2 linked regions of the Cricetulus griseus genome follow. The protein of the gene in region 2 purifies or fractionates together with the protein of the main gene of each other region. This does not show direct contact. Links are inferred from orthologs where the notes say so. Each region holds a gene or a part of one and is shown on either strand. Other genes may lie near its edges.

Region 1 (6,364 bases), on a different chromosome or scaffold from region 2:
TGTCCTGCTTCCACACCCTCATTTGAACACAGAATAGATCAGATTCCACAGAATGAGATAAACTGTGGTTAAGGGACCCCACCCCAAAGGTAGATGGGAACCAAGAGACAATCTCTTCCTCCATTCTCCAACCACTCAGCTCCTCTACCAAAGGTTGCTCAGTCAATTTGAGGGATGGGGGAAGGAGAAACTGCAGAGCAAAAGCCATATTCAACTGCCATCCAAATAAAAAAGCCGTCACTTTTTATTTCCTCTGCTTCCACTCACACCACCTCCAAAGACAGCTTATTAAACAATCCTGTTACTCTGTGACTATGTAAATACAGGTTTAAGATGCACAAGTATATTAAGGACGGTCTATTTGCTTCAATAAGCACTCCATGAGACAACGCATGTGTTCTATGCTTTTAGCTACCACCACAATAAAATGTAGCACTTTCAAAAGAGCTGTGAATATCATGTCTTCTAACTTTGGTAGCTTTTTCTGTGGCAAAATAGTAACTAAAACTTTTGGAACATAACTTTCTAAAAATTGTAGACAGGTAGAAAAATTGAGACATGAACTTTAGGCAAGTAACCTCAACAACTAACCATGGGTTGAATTTTGGCATCTCTACATAGTACACTAACAATCATGCAAAGTGGAGAATCTGTAACCAGTTACCCCAAAGATTCAAAATGCATTCGCACCGTCCTACCTAGAGGCAGGTGAGAATTGTTTTAGTCTTGGAAGTATCTATACTGACTGTGGACGTTAACGATACACACTAGATGATTACATTTTTTCTCTCCTGAGCTGAGCAGGATGTGCCTCAACATATCACAAGTCAAACAGAAGCTTGGAGGTGGAGTCACAGGTATTAATCAGTGGGTGACTTTTTCTATCATTCCCTTCCCCCGGGGCATAAAAAGTTTCTACAGTTCACACGGAGAGCTACACCTCTGCATACGGTAATAAAGTAGGACACAGTGTCCGCCATCCCTTCTCTCTGTGTCAGGATTGGAGCCGTCTAAGTGACCAAACGCCGCTCCCTATCCGGAAGGAAATGCAGCCTTCCTTTGCCTGCAACTGCCGGCTTTAGAAACAAACTTCCCATGGAAGGTCATGGAGGGATAAAAAGCCCGACTGCCAAGGATGAGACGGTGGGGCAGTGATGTTGAAGAGCCTCAGAGAGTCATTATAAAAACGTGGTATGCGTTAAGACAGCGGGAGATCAAAGCACTACCATCGGGAGCAGCAGGCAAAGGACGGTGGTTTTTACACACTGGGGAGACAGTCCAGTAATTCAGAATTCAGCACCTCACCAGGACAGAATGTACAGTCTGGAATTGTGCTCATTTTCACTCAACTTGGCCTACTAAGCAGAATCAACTCATTTGCCCCAAAGGTATTCTAGGTCCTCATTAGCATATTTTATTCCACAGGCTTTTATTTTCAGCTATTCTCAAAAAAAAAAAAAAAAATCACCATTAGGCTTCCTCATGGGACACTGCTGGCTGTTCAAGGTTGCCCAGTGGTCTTTTGGACTGGCACGATTCACCACTTTCAATCACTAATATTTTGCTTGGGGAACAAAGGAAATTAAACCCACCTCCAAACACAGCCGGGTAGGTTTTTAAGATCTCGATCTCTCTGCCCACCCGAAACCCAGCACCGGGAGGGAAGGGAAGCTCGCCTCCGGGCGCGGGCCGGGGAGTGCCGTCCAAGACTCTGCCAGACGTGCCCGGCGAGCGTTGGGTGGACCCGAGGGCGCGAACAGGAGATCTCTGCTCGGAACTCAAGGTTTGAATTTCCCAATCCTGAGCGGATTTGCCTCAGCACACGTCAGTAGCTGTGGCTCGGTTTCTCGAGGGGTCTTCTTTGCCCCTCCTTCTTCCGCCCCGCCTCGTTCTTAGGGAATTTCAAGAGTTTCCCCGAGTGTTACAAGTGCATTTACCAGCACTGGGACTCCCTAGGTATTCAGGGGCCCTTCCCAGGGGCTGCACCCAGCTACCCGACGAGTTTAGGGAGAATGGGGTGAGAAAGGGCAGCGTGGATGGGGAGGTATTAGACTGACAACTTAGTGATGAATTTGATCTCTTGCTCTTGGACCGGCGGGAAGCGGGCCCGTCTCCCCTCCCCCTTCGGGGGCAGAGGTCTGGACCGCGAAGCCCGGAGGCTGCGGAGAGCTGAGCTCAAGATGCTAAGATGGCAGGAGGGCGCGCAACCGGCCTCCCCAAAGCTTTCACTTCTGCTCCACTCTCGGCCTCAGCTGGTACAAAAAACAAACAACAAAAACCACTTCAATACAGACTCAGCTTGAATTATTTCGGGCTGGATTTAGGCGGGACAGAATGAACTCGGGGGCAAAGTGCTTTACAGAACGTGTTACCAATAATAATTTTTTAAATGCTTTAAGATGGAACCCTTTTAAACTGCACTTTAACATCATCTTTGCCTAGTGCTTAGCACCCTGACAGCGCCAACTCAAAATTGTCCCAACAGCTCCTAAGTGGCTACATGTCTGCGCAAGCAGGCTGGAGCGCGGGCGCGCGCGGCGCGGGGAGGTGGGGGGGGGAGGTAGCTCGCTCTAAAGTGCGGCTTCAAAAACGCCTTTCCCCCCATTCCTTCTAGGAGCTCGTGTTTTAGCAGTTGATTTTGAAAAAGCATCCTGGCACACACAGTCTCTAAAACGCCCGTTTCTCCTCTTAACGCTTCGTAAGTCACCACCACCCATTCAAGATTTCTCCTGCCCGGAGTTGCCAGCGTGGTGGAGTGAAAAGCTGGCTGTGCGTGCTACAGGGTTCGTCCCGAAGCACTGCGCTGGCTTGGACAAAGTAACTAGTGTTGCTCTAAAAGCCCCAACGGCAGCACCCTGATCTTCAGATCTTCTGGCTTAATCCTGAAAAGTCTAAGAAGAAACCACGTGGAAGTCAAGTAGCCGCAGCGTCTCAACAAAGCACCCCGTCACAAAAGGGGTACGCTTTTTCAAGGCTAAGGAACGGCGGCCAGTATTTCCATATGAAAAAGAAGCACGCAGTCTACAACACTATAGGAAGCACGTTAAGCAAACTCGACTGAAAAGTCCAACTCAAGAGCCCCCTCCAACTGCCCCCCCCCCGCCCGCCCGCAAGACCTACGCCATTCGTAACTACAGAAAAGTAAAATAGGGCTGCACAACAAAGAGCCAAATTCAGTAACTTGGCTCTTCACTCTACTTGGAAAAGTTTGAGGCTTTTACCTGTTGCATTGTCGGGAAAACTTTTGACCAAAATATAAATCAGCACGTGGAAACTAAAGGCACTTTGAAGTCCGTCATTCTACTTGCAGTACCCTAAGTCAAAAGGTGACAAGGCATTTATAAACCACAATAGAAGAGTTTTCCTTAACGAAAAAGACGCTAGAAGGTAAAGTGAGTTTTTCAAAACTTACTCTTTCGCTTAATGAAAGCGAAGCCGGCGCGCCAAAGCGGTGAGGCTCCTTGGAGGCTGAAGTCAAAGAAAAGGAGGGCTCAGGCTCCCAGACCTGTCTATTTAAAGTTTAAAAGTCTGCTGCTGTTTGGTACTTTCCTCACGCCTTCCCCCAATGAAAGAAAAGTGCTGATACCTCGTAAAAGCGCTTTTCTAACTTGGAGCACAGCGCTTTTAAAAGTTTCAAGCCACTGACTCAACTGGAAGGAGGGGCTAGGAGAAAGGGGAGGGAGGAAGAAAAGGCGGGGAGGAGGTGGGGAGAAGGCTGGTGAGCGTGGGGCTGAGCAGGCACTAGAAGCAGCCAGGGTCAAGATAAAGTTGTAGTTTGAACACGCTAAAGAAAAAAAAAAAAAAGAAAGAGAACAGCCCTAGATAGATTTACGTCCACCACCACTTGGCTGTGACTTCTCACAGATTAAATACTGTTGAGTCTAGTGCTTGCTTCACCAGATGACCAGGGACAGTGAGGATATGTACTTTTATGTTACATTTTCTAACCTAAAAAAACAAAAACAAAAAGTACAACAAATAAAAATGGGGGAGACAACGCTAACCAGTGCGGACTTGTTCTGGGTTGCCCAAGCTGTGTGAAGCTTGAGGTGGGTGTGAGTGATCTTTCTTATGACCTAATTCTCTTGCTCTTAAACATGGACAATTAACAAAGGAAAGAAACGGTGGGCATGGGAAAGACATTTCACAACCAGATGTGTGTAGGGGTATGTCTACCCTTTCAGCCTCTGGACTGTGTTAGGTATTTCTACGTATTCTTTCAACTAAGCACAAGAAGAAACGTGTTATGATATATCATGTATATAATTTTTGACTGAAGTGTTGATAGTGACCTCTACCAGATCTCCAAGGAAGTGAAAATTTATATCTCAGGCCTATTCAGGCCAACAATTTAACATTTAAATTTGCAGTGAGATGTCAGAGTTCTTTTTTTTTTTTTTTTACAACTGCAGACTAGAGTTGTCAGATACATTATCTTGCCTAAAGTGGCTCTGAAACCTTCATCCGCTCTTTCAATCATGTCCCTGGGAAGCCCAACCTGGTGACTGTTTGCCTCTCCACAAACTCTCTCCTCAGACCTGATGGGGTTTCTGAAGGCTTAAGTCATGTGGCCTCATTCCTAAGATCAGTAGCTTCTTTGAGGGCTCCCAGACATCCTCCAAGAGGGCTTGTGGTAGGACGAGTGCCATAAACAGGCTTCATTGGTATTGGACAGGGAAACCTCTTGGCCTTTGTACAGACATCCATTTGATCATGCTAAACTTTTCACACAAATACAGATACAGACCAAAGAAGGATGGCAAAGATTTCCTGGGAAATACTTCCCCAAGTATCTTCTCACTGCAATGACTAAGGACTGTTTGAAATCTCACCATTTGAGACACCAACATGCTCTTTACTTTGATTATCCCATTCTTATTAAGGTTTGCATCTCTTTAAGTTCAAAAAGGGAAAAGATGTAGAAGCAGAAACTATATTCTGACTTTCAAGGCTTCATGCTCAGCAACCTGAAATTAGTTGTTTTTTTTTCTTAACATTTATTTATTCTCTCTCTCTCTCTCTCTCTCTCTCTCTCTCTCTCTCTCTGTGTGTGTGTGTGTGTGTGTGTGTGTGTGTGTGTGTGTACAAGTGGAAGTTAGAGGACAACATGCAAAAGCTGGTTCTCTTTTTCCATCTCAAAGCTGAGCTAACACTGTAAGATCAGGAAGCAAGCACCTTTACCACGGATCCCTCTTATTGACCCTTATTAAATGTATTTACATAGTTTTTTTTTTTTGAGAAAAACAAACAAACTTCTCTCTGCATAGCTCCCAGGCTGTCCTGAAACTCACTACATAAACCAGGCTAGCCTCAAACTCACAGAGATCTGCCTTCTTCTGGCTTCCAGCACTGGGATTAAAGACGTGCACCACCATGCCTGGCTTATTCAGTTTGTTAACTGATACAATATAAGAGGTGGACATAATGTTTGAGTAATATGATGCTTTGCTACATGTGTAAAGTTGGTGTGTTGAACTCAGTATAAGCATATTTGTCTGCTGAAACATTTATCATCGTTTCCTATGGTAAAATATCTAGATTCTGAAAAGGAACTCTTTTTGAACACTTGATACATCATCATCTGTAGTCAATTTACCCATGCTTAACACACCACACTTAAAGGACAACCTCAGTAAAACCTAGTGTTCACAAATTGGCCACTCCCTGTTCCTCTTTATTTAATTTCCAGAAAGATTTGCTTGCTGGGTGTGGTGGCACATACCGTTAATCCCTCCTTCCAGGCAGAGGCAGGAGGATTCCTGTGAATTCAAGGCCAGCCTGGTTTATAAAGCAAGTTCCAGGACAGCCAGAGCTACACAAAGAAACTGTCTCAAAAAGCAAAAAAAAAAAAAAAAAAAAAATTTGCTTTATTTTTATAAAATTATTTGTTAAGTGCAATTATTACCAATATCTATTTTATTAATAACATTCCTATAATATCAATTCAGAATTAGTTGCAGAGGAAAAAAAAAGTTGTGATTGACAGCCTTTTACAATATAATTTTTTTCCCCTTGGTTTTTTGAGACAGGGTTTCTCCGTAACTTTGGAGCATGTCCTGGAACTCACTGTGGAGACCAAGGCTGGCCTCACACTCACAGAGATCCACCTGCCTCTGCCTCCTGAGTGATGGGATTAAAGGTGAGCGCCTCCACCACCTGGCTGGAATGGTGCTTCTTAATTGGAGAGTTGATGTCACTTTTTAATTTTGTTTACAAACACACACTTATGGGATTTTGAGATGCATAGAATCAATTTTAGGGATGTTACAGGTCATATGCTAACTGTTAAGTGATCCTTTTTCTTTTGAGACTGGGTCTATCTCTGTAGCACTGGCTTTGAACTCACCCAGTAGACCAGGCTGTA
Region 2 (5,691 bases):
TCTGTTGACCATAGTACAATGTGTAGCTTCTTTGGCCTTGAATCTTAGATTCTACATTTCACAGGTCACCATCGGTGAGTGTAGTATAGCACAAAAGTAGAGACTCCCTGTCCTTTAAATATCCTTTATTTTGTACCCTTAAATCCATTCCCTGGTCATTCCTTATATCTTATATCTATATATTAAGATGCCTTAGTCTCTTTTGTTTAAACTTTGAATGCATTAAATTTCATTGTATAGTTATGGACCTATTATTACCTTGTTTTGTGACAGTGTCTTTCTGTGTAGGCCTGGCTGACCTAGAACTTATATATAAATCAGGCTGGCTATGAACTTTGCAGAGATCTGCCTGTCTCTGCCTGAGTGCTAGCTTGAAGGCGTGTGCCACTGTGTTGGCATTTATCTTATTTTAATATCATGCAAAAACAGCTTCACCCTCCTAAAAAAAATCTTTTTTTAAAGATTTTTTTATTTATTTTTATTATGTATACAACATTCTGCATCCATGTATATCTGCACACCAGAAGAGGGCACCAGATCTTATAATGGATGGCAGTGAGCCACCATGTGGTTGCTGGGAATTGAACTCAGGACCTCTGGAAGAGCAGTTGGTGCTCTTAACCACTGAGCCATCTCTCTAGTCCCCCCCCCACCCCCAAATCTTTATTTTTGGTTTGAGACAAGGTCTTACTAAATAACAATCTGGCCTTGACTCTGATTTTTCCTTTTTGTTTTTTTGAGACAGTGTTTCTCTGTTGGAACTCACTCTGTAGACCAGGCTGGCCTGGAACTCAAAAGAGATTCACCTGCCTCTGCCTCCTGAATGCTGGGATTAAAGGCATGCAACACCCAGCTTTTATTTTTTTTAAATGTTTGTTTTGCCTGCATGTATGTCTGTGTACCATGTGCATACCTGCTGCCTGCATAGGCCAGAATAAGCCGGTGCCAGGTCCCCTGAGCTGGAGCTACAGATGGTTGTTGAATCTTCCACACCCTAATAAGACCTCCGCTGATGTAGTAATTCAAATCATACCAAATCAAACAGAATTAGAAAAAGCCCATGTTTAATGGATACAATGCTCCCTGATGGCCTTCCAGTTCCCCAGAGAGGATATGGGAAAGGGAGACAGGAAAAGGCACAAAGTCTATTTTCTGGGAGGCAGTGTAAATACCCTGTGGGAGTGGTCTTGAGCATCTCTGGGAGAGGGGTCATCATTCCCCTTGATTCTTTTTTTTTTTCTTCTTTTCTTTTATCCAGCATTGGAATTTGCACTGAGAACTTGTCTGAAGCATAGTCTCTTTCTCCCATGCATGGTTCAATCTTATATCACCAGACTTTCCTCATAGCTTCATTGCATAAAAGATAAGGCAAGTGTGGAGGCTCAGCCTACAATCTCATCACTGGAACACTGAGGCAGAAGGCTGCTACATGCTCCAGGCCAGGTTGGGCTACATTGACACCTTCTCAGAACACCAAAACTCAAGACAGGCAATGAATGACCTTGTCTTCCACCTGAATCCTCCCTCAGAAATAAACACTGACAACATCAATGTACTCTCACAACAAAAATCATTTATTTACAAAGGCCAGGGTGGATGTTGGAAGTAAGAGAGGAAAAGGGCAGGCATGTCTGGACTACTTGGGACCCTTCCCCAACTGGAACAGGGTTCTTCTATCTCCCAGCCAGGGATCCTCCAAGTAGCTGGACCACAGAGCAGAGAGAATGTGTTGACAGCCTCTTCCTCAGTACTCCAGCTGAGCTAAACCTAATTTCTTATTAAAGGCATCACTGTTCCCACCCTTTCCTCAAATAGAACTTTCTGGTCTAGAGGGAACCAGCAAGGAATTGAAAGGCAGGAGCTCTGGAAGAGAAACCTCACTATTTTTTTCCACAAGAGTAATGGTGGTAAGGGTATCCGTTAGAGCCATTATCTTTAGAATTATCCAATATGCTATCTGGTTACCAAAGACCCAGAGACCCAGCTCTCCCAATGCTATATTCCTCCACTAGGCTGGCCCTTGTACCCACTCATCTCTGTTGACAAAGTTGTGAACCTGAAACCAACAAAGAACACACAACTCCCAACTTTCATGAATGCTCGTATGTGTATAACTTCTCCATACTGCTGAGAAAGATCCAACCCCATCATATCTCCTGGAGAGGGAAGCTCAAAGTACTGGAGCCTGAAGATATAGGCATGTCCTGGGTCATTGGGTCACGTGTGTGCATATGCATGTGTTGGAGACAATGGAACCAACTTGATTCCTTGTAGGTTGCACTGCTCAGCTTTGTTGAGCTCCATTCTTCAATTCAAACTCCACCAGTCTCTCTTCTGTCAGCCCTGAGCCTGGGTTCTCCAACCTGAAATCTACTGGTGTTTCTATATCCCAACTGTCAATTCGAACTTCCAAGCATTCAGCTTAGGCAGTCTTTCCCCAGTCCCTGCTTCCAGGAATTCTCAGCTCTTGCTCTTCAACACCAGCCCCTGCAGGTCTTGTCTGTCCTTGGTAATCCTGCCCAGAGTACTGACTCATTGCTCCCTTTGGGCAAGAGGACAGGCATCTTTCTCCCTGCCTCAGAGTCCCAAAGGAGCCCATGAGAATATGCTGGATGAATTTGCAGAATAGGGGTAGAGAAAGAAAACTATAGCATTTCATCAGTTCCTTTCCAGAGAGTGAAATTCAAACACTGGTTGGGTTGAGGTGAGGGAGGGAAAGGAAGAGAGTAAAGTAAATGTAAGGCAAACTAATCCCTAGTGGTACTGATGGAAGACTTCCAGGAAGCCAGGCGGGGTCCTCCTCTCTCAGACCCTGGGAGAAGACTGAACATTGCCAGAGTACTTGTGGGCAAGGAGGTAGGGCCAACTGACCACACAACTGTGCAAACTAAATAGCTCTGCTTAGAGGGCCAGGAGAGAAGATTTCATTAGATAGCAACCGAATCAAAATCCTTGGAAAGAGCTGTGGGGTTGTGCCCATGCCTCTAGTGTCACCCTGCTGTTTGTAGAGGTCAAAGAAGACAGGCTACAGAAGGTAGGGCTTGACAGAGAGCCAAAGGCTGGCGCTGAGAGGTGGGGAAGGCAGGAGGCACAGGCCAAGGGATCAGGAGAGCTGGGACCCCAGGAGTCTCTCAATAGCAGCATTGATGTCCCCTCCTGTGGCAATCAGGGCCTGCAGGTTGGCTTCACGGTTGACAAAGCCCATGGAGTTGAGCTGTTCCAGCTGCTGTTGAAATCTCACTTCTGGCACCGGCACCTGGAGGAGGCAGGCCTTGGCAAGTGGGCATGGGCCCATCCTAGGGCTAGCCCCTGTCTTCCTTCCTTTCTGTTTGAGAATGTCTTGCTATGTAGTATGTAGCTCAGGCTGGCCTACAACTGCTGGGATTGCAGGCATATAACACCGTGCCTGTCTCCTAGAGGGACAGTTTGAATTTGAGTGTATACATAATACCAGTAGGTCCCTAACACCCCCATGGTCAAGGATGGCTCTTGTATCCACTTGTCTCCCACCCCAGTCCAGGGCTTTGTGCTTAGCTGAGGAAAAGTGAGATGCAAACGAAGGACAGGGAACCTAGTCCCCAAGTTAGTAAATAACTATAACAATAAAACAGACGATATTTTTGTTAAACTTCCTAAGTCCCTGGTAGGCCTGGGTCAGCTTGTTCCTATATGCTCTCCAGAAGATGTTAATAGATGCTTCAAAAGACTGATGCTGGGACAGAGAAGTGGCTCAGTGATTATCTTCCTGAGGACCTGACTTTGATTCCTAGAACATGGTGGTTCACAACTGTCTGTAACTCTAGTTTCCAGGGATTTGATACTTCTTCAGGCCTCTGTGGGCACTAGGCACACACTTGGTGCCCAGACATATATGCTGACAAACCATTCATACATATAAAATAGAAACAAATAATCTGAAAAGAAAAAAAAAAAAGGGCTAAAGCTGGGCTAGGCATGTAGCTCAGTGGTAGAACACTCACCTACATGTGCAGCCTCTGGGTTTGATCTCCAACACAGACTCGCATGCACAAAGAGAACCCAGAGCTCTACGCTCAAATACGCTGAATGCTAAACATGCCCCTCTTGATAGTCTTCGCATCTACTACCACAGGAAAGGTCAGAGAAGCGCCCAGCAAGGAAAAAACCTGCTTAATTTTTTTAACCTGCCAATAAACACAACTATTAACAGAAGACAAGCCTTTTCTTTCAACACACTCCTATAAATATCTCTCGGAAATGTTTTGCTGTGGGATATTTGTGTACTGTGTGAAGATGTATTGCTATGTTTGGTGTAGTAAAAATTCTGAATGACCAATAGGTAGTCAGGAGGTATAGGTGGGACTTCTGGGCAGAGAGAGAGAAAACTCCAGGAAGAAGAAAGGCAGAGTTGTGAGCCAGGCATAGACAGGAAACAGGAGGTACAAGATGAAAGAGAGGTTAATGCCACGTGGCAGAACATAAATTAATATAAATGGGTTAATTTAAGTTATAAGAGCTAGTTGGAACAATTCTTTTTTTTTTGTTTTGTTACAGGGTTTCTCTGTGTAGCTTTGGAGCCTGTCCTGTAACTCACTTTGTAGACCAGGCAGGCCTCAAACTCACAAAGGTCTGCCTGCCCCTGCCTCCTGGGTGCTGGGATTAATGGTGTGCACCACCATCGCCTGACTAGATGGGACAATTCTAAGCTAAAGGCTAAGATTTCATAATTAAAACAAATCTCTGTGTTGTTATTTGTGAGCTGGCAGCCCCCAAAAAGTCCAACTCCAGTGTTTTCCCATGTGATGTTTGGGAAGCATAAATCTTGATCATGACCAAGACCCTGCAAGAGGAAGGCTGTTGTGGAGTATTTGTTTACACTGTTATGTCTGCCTAAGGTGCCTTCTGATTGGTTTAATAAAGAGCTAAATGGCTAATAGGTAGGCAGGAGAGAATAGACAACTTCCAGGCAGAGAGAGAGAGAATCAGGAAGGAGGAATCTAGGTACCTGATTTTACCATCACACTCAGAGCAAGCTGGATGTGCTATACTAAGAAGAGTTAACCAAGCCACGTGGGTGAATTTAAGCTATAAGAGCTAGTTGGAAAAAGCCTAAGCTAAGGCCAAGCTTTCATAATAAGTCTTCGGGTCATTATTTGCAGGCTGGAAGTCTAAAGATCATCTGACAAGAAAGCTTGCTACAGAAGGCTGGTGTTCACTGCCCACTTGATTAGATACACTTCCCTAGGGCCACACAGCAAGCCCTGCAGTGTCTGTCAGAGCCCTTCACAGTGCCCTGCTGACATTTCTCAGTCACAGTTTGTACTGGATGCACCTTAGAGATCAAGCTGACTCAGCCCTGTGAGTGTTTTACACAGACATCTGCAGAATGGTGCTTCTAGAAGAGGCACAGAGGTTACACCCCCAGTCACCTCTGTGCCTGTGCCTAAGACCCTGCCCTTGACCTTCGTCATCTGCTGGCAGATGGAAACAGGGTAAATGACTCTCCTAGACAGAGCATTCAGCATGGTACCAAGCAGGTGCTGAGTGGCAGATTAGGCCCTGAAGCCAGCCAGGTCTGGTCTCCTGCAAAGCCTGTACTGCTGCCTCTACTCCACCTGTCCTTGATGTTGCTCAGGATGGATGGGTGGTTGCCCTGTATACCTGTGAGTTTCCACCTCCAGCCAAAAGCTGGATCATCTGTTGCATCAGTTG

The links. The genes of interacting proteins can lie anywhere in the genome.
Region 1: the proteins of Ubqln4 (region 2) and Gja1 purify together in Homo sapiens (affinity purification with western blotting; 3 studies listed by BioGRID). This does not show direct contact. The link is inferred for Cricetulus griseus from reciprocal best matches to the Homo sapiens genes UBQLN4 and GJA1.

What each region holds. Positions count from the first base shown.
Region 1 is NC_048595.1:253,062,602-253,068,965, forward strand, and holds the start of Gja1 (gap junction alpha-1 protein), read right to left. Parts: upstream 3,590-6,364; 5' UTR 3,413-3,589; intron 1-3,412. UniProt on the Homo sapiens protein: Gap junction protein that acts as a regulator of bladder capacity. A gap junction consists of a cluster of closely packed pairs of transmembrane channels, the connexons, through which materials of low MW diffuse from one cell to a neighboring cell.
Region 2 is NW_023276806.1:65,937,710-65,943,400, forward strand, and holds the end of Ubqln4 (ubiquilin-4), read right to left. Parts: coding exon 5,641-5,691; intron 3,414-5,640; coding exon of another isoform or gene 3,360-3,413; exon of another isoform or gene 3,257-3,359; coding exon 3,104-3,256; 3' UTR 1,554-3,103; downstream 1-1,553. UniProt on the Homo sapiens protein: Regulator of protein degradation that mediates the proteasomal targeting of misfolded, mislocalized or accumulated proteins.